Regions from separate parts of the Mus musculus genome. Here region 2 is reported to be linked to region 1. Evidence: microRNA targets listed by miRTarBase, many of them from high-throughput screens and not tested one by one. Region 1 holds a microRNA gene; the other region holds the end of a gene's coding sequence. Distances are between the middles of the regions.

Evidence for each region. The annotated mature microRNA mmu-miR-695 reads AGAUUGGGCAUAGGUGACUGAA and lies in region 1 at 1,401-1,422, shown strand. An mRNA with a match to its seed (bases 2 to 7 or 8) in the 3' UTR can be bound and repressed. Matches are read on the target gene's strand: a 7mer-m8 pairs with bases 2 to 8, a 7mer-A1 pairs with bases 2 to 7 and ends in A, and an 8mer does both.
Region 2: the mRNA of Tmem239 is a reported target of mmu-miR-695. Seed matches in the 3' UTR shown: 8mer at 523-530 and 7mer-A1 at 885-891.

What each region holds. Positions count from the first base shown.
Region 1 is chr2:155,355,431-155,358,658 of GRCm38, forward strand. Mir695 (microRNA 695) reads left to right here and starts at 1,387; the gene lies at 1,387-1,495. Pigu (phosphatidylinositol glycan anchor biosynthesis, class U) reads right to left here and starts at 1,994. Exons shown (of 12, transcript NM_001004721.1): 1 at 1,836-1,994. The coding sequence starts at 1,965.
Region 2 is chr2:130,406,765-130,409,992 of GRCm38, forward strand. It overlaps Tmem239 (transmembrane 239), which reads left to right. Exons shown (of 2, transcript NM_025753.3): 2 at 1-1,030. The coding sequence ends at 415. Among named protein-coding and RNA genes, the nearest start is that of Tmem239, 1.9 kb to the left of the region's middle.

The DNA.
Region 1 (3,228 bases):
CAAAGATACCAAATCCAAGTTCTACTACCTCACACAATTATCACCACTACTACTCACCAAGACGAAACCTTCCCTTAGCCCCATTTTTACAATCTGTAAAATGGGGGGCATACTACCACCTACCACAAAGAATCACTGTGAGGGTTAAGTGAGGAGAAACAAATTTTAAAAGCTTACTATACTCCTTGGCATACACTAAGAAACTTTAGAAACCTTACTCCAGTGAAATCACACCATAAAAGACAACCACCTCCCACAAGTGTTCTCCAGCATCCACACACAATAAATAAATTAATATTTAAAAATTAGTTGATGACAGCAAGTGATATGAGAACATAGGCATTAAAGTTTGAGGCTAAAGTTAGATGTGGTGACTCACACCTACAATCCCAGCCCTTGAAAGGCTGTTCACCATGAATCTGAGTACATGCTGGGCTAAAGAAAAGATCCCGTTTCAAAATCAAATAATAAGCAAAGTGTAAGGCTACACAAAGCAGACTTCTAGGATGCTGATGTGTTTGAGCTAGGTGCTGGCTATCCATGTGTATGTATGTGTGTATATATGTATGTGTGCATATATGTATGTGTGTATATATGTATGTGTGTATATATGTATGTATGTATGTATGTATATATGTATGTAGGTTCTGTTTTGTTTAAAGACTTAAACTTGATCTAGACAGATGGTTCAGGGGATAAGAGCACTCAATGTGCAAACATGAAGATCTGAATCTAAATTCCCAGCACCCCTGTCAAAAGACCCAAAATAACCATTGCCTGAGATGCCTGTAACTCCAGCATTGGGAGGATTGTAGGAGTGGAGACCGGCAGAAACCCCCGGGGGTGGGGGCATACAGCCCAATTGAAATAGCTTCAAGTTCAAGTAGACCCCATCTTAGGAAATAAAGGGTAGAGTAATACAGAAAGACACCAGACATCCTCCTTTGGCTTCTGAACACACACCACAAGCACACACAACCCCCGCCCATACACACACAAGTAATAATGACAATAAATAAATAAATAAATAAATAAATAAATCAAACTGTAGCCCCAACCTAACCCACATCTTTTTCTGCTCTGAATATTTCACAACCTCGGGTATTTCTTGATCCTTTGCAACCTTAAAGTCCTCTTTTTTCTAATCTTTTCCCAAACCTGGTCCTTCATTCATTCATTCCGGAAAAGGGAAGGCAGTTTACTCAGGGTCAGACACTAAGGAAGTGACTATAGAAACTTGTTCGTCTCCTCTACTGTCCTGTGGCTCCTTCAGCTCAATCTCTGTCTTCTTGGAGGCGATAGTATGCAATAGGGTTTAATACACACACACACACACACACACACACACATACATACATATATTTAAAAAGCAAACTAAGAAAAACTTCACGAGGAATCCTAGATTGGGCATAGGTGACTGAAGTACACAGCTGCCTTTCTTACAAAGGCACTGGTTACCTTGGTCCTGGTCACCGGCTCGGCTATCTGCTACTCGGTGGAACACCCCCAGCAATCTCACTGTCAAAAGCTAACACTTCACAAGTCCCAATGCACACATCACCCTCGGATATCCATCCTTCCGCGGATCCCGCCGCCTGACTCGGGATACTGGGACACGCCCCCTCGGATACCCATCCCTAGGGTAGTGGGGCTCACACTCCACATCTCCTCCACACCCCATCCTCCACACCAAAGCTCCGCCCTCAGCTCGAAAAGAACCCCCAGACGCGGGTCAGTCTCCACAGAACCGTGCGCTTGTGTCCACCTCCTCCACCTCCAATTCAATTCACAGGCTGGCAGAGCGCCGACCGCCCTACTCTAGTCAGTGGCCTCACCTCTCTTCCAAGAGCTCAGTGGGGACACCACCTCCACCCTCTCGGAAATGAACTCGGCCAAACTGGAGCGAAACAAGGCCGCCCTCACGGTCACGGCCACCACAAGCACCAGGGCCAAGGGAGCCGCCATGATAACTGAGGCGGGCGCGCAGGCAATGCGGAAGAGCCTCAAGACTTGCGCGCCACACTGTAGTACCTCCGTGGAACGAGTGCCGTGGCTGTTGCTGGAGCACACAGACTTTAGGACTACCATTCCCAGAAAGCCCTGCGGCGAGTCGACGGAAAGTGGGATGTGTCAAACTTTTTGCAAAGGTTTGGACTACGCCTCTGATCAAGCAAGAGAAGTGAAGAAATATTGTACCTATTTTACTGAGATCGTGAGCAAAATTTAAAGAAATAATTTCACTCGTGTGAATATTTTAATGTTAAAATGTTTACCTTTATATTTTTAAAAAGTGCGACACTCGTATTTACTGAGCGCCAACCATCCTCAAGGCACTATATTGTGTGGCGAGGAAACACTTTGGAGTGGTTAATTATTAGCTTTGCGACCTTCAGCAAGTTATTTAACCGAGGGAGTCAGAGCAGGAACTCAAGGCAGGAGCTTGAGGCTAAAACCGCGGAAGAACCCTGCTTTTATAGACTTTCTCTTCTGCTCATGCTCAAACAGCTTTCATGCACAACACCAGCACACCTGCCCAGGGATGCTTCCTCCTCCGACAATGAACTGGGCCCTCTCACATCAATCAATTTTTCAAAATCAAGACAATTTCTCACAGACCAATCTGATGGAAGGCAATTTTTCAACTGAGGTTTCCTCTTCCAAAATGACCTTAGATTGTGTGAAGTTGAGAATAATAACCAGGACATGTACTGCAGCAAATTCTGTGTAGGATGCAGTTTTGCTTTTCTCAGTTCAGGTTGGTAGCTTGAAATCCCTCCAGGTGGGAGTGTGTACAGCTCAGAGATAAGCAAACATAACAAGTCAGGGGTTTGGAGAGCCCGTTGATAAGCGCCAACAGAGCCCGTTGATAAGCGCCAACAGTCGTTATGTATGAAAAGTGCTACATGGGTGCTTTAAAATTAGCTATAATAATTAATTATGCAAGAAATTTTTATATCCATGAAGAAAATGGAACAGTGCATCGATTGTATGACCATGGTTAACAAAAAGTATTGAATACTTCAAAATAGGGAGTAGAGGTTTTTGATTTTTCCTAGCACAGTAATGTTTGAAGTCATATGTCAGTTACCCTATGATTACTTGTATACTGTATTGGGTTATCATACTGTACCCCAGTTAAAAAGGAAAAACTATATTTTTAGAAAAATAAAATAAAATAAAATAAAATGCATAATTGAGAATATCCATGGGGAAGGGAGGAATGCTGGT
Region 2 (3,228 bases), 25 Mb from region 1:
CGAGGGGCCCCAGCGGGCAGTGCCCTGGTCAGCCTGGATCATCCGTCAGGACTGGGTGCGCTGGTGGGTATGCCACATACCTCGGAGCTGGACCCAGTGGTGGAATACATCAGGCTGGCGGCAACCACTACAGCGGATGCTGTGGGGTCTGGAGGGGACACTCTACCTGCTGCTGGCACTGATGCTATGTCACGCACTCTTCACCACGGGCTCCTACCTGCTGAGCTCGCTATGGCCCGTGGTGGCTGTGATGTGGAGCCACCTGCTGCCAGCAATCCTGCTGCTTGTGCTCAGTGCCCTGCCTGCTCTGCTCTTCGCAGCCTCCTTCCTGCTGCTCTTTTCCACACTGCTGAGCCTCGTGGGCCTGCTCACCTCCATGACTCAACCAGGCTACGCTCAGGACTTGGACCAATAGAAGGGCAACCCCATCTTACTGCTTGTGTCTGTTGAGCCCTGGCCTAGGGCCTGAGCCCCGTGGGGAGGGGGGCAGTGGAACTTCAACAGACCTCAGACCCCCCCCCCCCCAATCACAAATACAAGTGGGGGTCTGGCTTCTGGGCATCTACCTTAAACCCACATTGGTGTCAGGAACAGGACAGACAGTTTAGCCAGGAGCAAGAGCTTGGACCAACCACTGAGAGCACCCGTATGGATGTGGTAACATCACTTGGTCTTCCTGGCAGAATCTTTTAGTCACATCACCTCAGCCCTACCAGCTTCAGGCTTCCTGAGAATTTCCACCTACATACCCCTGGACTTGTCTGGATTTGTCCCGGATCCTCTCTTTCTACTTCCAGGAGGAACACACACTCTGGAATGGGTCTCACTGCCAGGACGATAGCTAGGGATCTCACCTCACTCACCTCTCAGAAATGGGAAAGAGGCCAATCATGATAGTGTGTGTGTGTGTGTGTGTGTGTGTGTGTGTGTGTGGACCCAAGGCTTTGTGCATAAGCATACACTCCACCCTACACACTCTTATTTTTTTTTTAAGAATCTCCAGGTCTGTTACAAAAAAAATCAAAGTCCTGTTTCAGCCTCCTACATCTTGGCTGATTCACTACTTTTGAACCTTGGTGTTAAGTGAGCCCCAATGCTTTCATGGGTTTGTTATGATCAAAAGTCAGTATCTATTTGCAAAATACTTTGCTGCTGTTGTTGTTTTGAAACAGGGTCTCATGAAGCCCAGGATGGCTTTGAACTATTTAGCTGAGGTGACTTTGAATTTCGGATCCTATTGTCTCTATGTCCAGGGTACTGGAATTAAAACTTGTGCCACCATGCCTGATTTTATGAAAAGTATTTGGTAAGGCCAAACAGCAGTTAAGATGTTTTGAGCTCTAAAAACATATAAGTTCAAAAGGCCTTTTGATTCAGAAGCTAAGAGATTAAATTTCTCTAGGCTTCTACAGAAACTCTGTCACTCATGGAATCCCAGCCCTAAAACAGTTGACACGGAATAGGCAGTGTGGTGAGATGTGCAAGGTGTGTGTCTCAAGCTAGGCAGACACTGGACTGTATGATCTGTGTAATGCTCGAGGCTGGAGCCTGGTGCCAGGGAACTTGTGCAATGCTGTGCTCATGGAAAAAGGAAAGCGCAGAGATTTGCAGGATTGATTAAGCAGGCTGCTTCCACCAGAGGGCTTTGGACCACCCAGGCTCCCCTGGCGTTTGGCCATTTACCTAGCGCTGAGCCTTCCAAACAAAGCTGTGAGTATCAGTTACCAAGTCAAGTGACAGACATGTTAGCCGATCTGCCCCCAGCTGGGGCCCAGACTTCAGTCCTCATCCACTGCTGACCTCTACCCAATCCCTGCTGCTTCCCAGCTCTTTATCTGGTTTAAATCTAACCTGAAAATCATTGCTTCTGAAGCCCTCTAAACACTCGTGCACCTTGAGCCATGGTTCATTTTGGCCAAAGCCTGACAGAGTTTTGAACTCTGTGTTCCTGGTAGACATCTTCATACTGGTAGATAGCTTCAGTGCCTAAAACCCCAAACCAGTGCTTCATTTTGTAGTTCCCCCTGCAGTGCGGCTGTGTGTCAAGGCCAGACATAGGGATGTTACTCCATTAATGATCTATTCCTCATCTGCTATCTGCTTCTCTCAATCTCTCTCTCTCTCTCTCTCTCTCTCTCTCTCTCTCTCACACACACACACACACACACACACACACACACGTAGTTCAGACTGTCCCCAAATTCTCTGTGTAGCTGAGGATGACCTTGACTTTTGACCCTCCTGCCCCTACCTCCCAAGGGCTAGAGTTACACCGATGTGCTCCCGTGCCTACTTTATTTGGTACCAGTGATCAAACTCAAGGTTTCCTGCATCTTAGGCAAGCGCTCTACCAAGTGAGCTACATTCCCAGCCTTGATAAGTTTTTCTGAATTTCATTTTCTACCTGAATATAACAAAGACATAGACACTTGCTTTGGGACATCTGGCCGTAATACACACACACACACACACACACACACACACACACACACACACACACACATACAAACACACACACACAGTGACTGTTTTTATTAGGAGCAGGATAACTACTCAGCACCAAGGCCAGGCTGTTTGAGTCCCAGAGCACTTTAAGAGGCTAGTAAAGAGAAAACCACATGGACTGGAGAAAATACAACTTAACTGAAAATCCTATGGCTCCTGTTAGAGAGGAAGCCCAGGCCTAATGAGTCTAGATGTCTAGAGTGCAGGGACTTCAAAGTTGTCTGTGGTGGGAATAGAGACTAAGATGCCTAGCCTGGACCATGTATCACTGGCCAGGGACATCACTGCAGAGACCTTGGGCCATTCTAGTTAAGAGGGGAGGAGGAGTTAACCAAGACCATATCCAGGGGGCACCGCGGGTGAGAACAACAAAGGGCTTTTTCACCTTTTCTTGAATCAAAATATACCTCCTGCCCCTTGACCTGCCGCTGTGGGATGGGGAGACACAGTGAAACAGGACCACAGACAGGCTGCCCTTACCTAATTAGAGGCTCTTATATTCTACAACCAAGAAACTCAAATTCTCACAGAGGGCCTTGAGGGCCTTGCTCTTTGACACATGGTTCCAAACAGTGCAGTCTAGGCCTCCCTTAGCTTTTCAGATATATAGCAACTCTGTGAGGCTGCCAAAATGACTCTATAGTTAAGAACACTTATTCTTACAAGAGAATCCTGGTTCAGTCCTCAGAATCTACATGTGCGCTCACAACCATCTGTAACTTC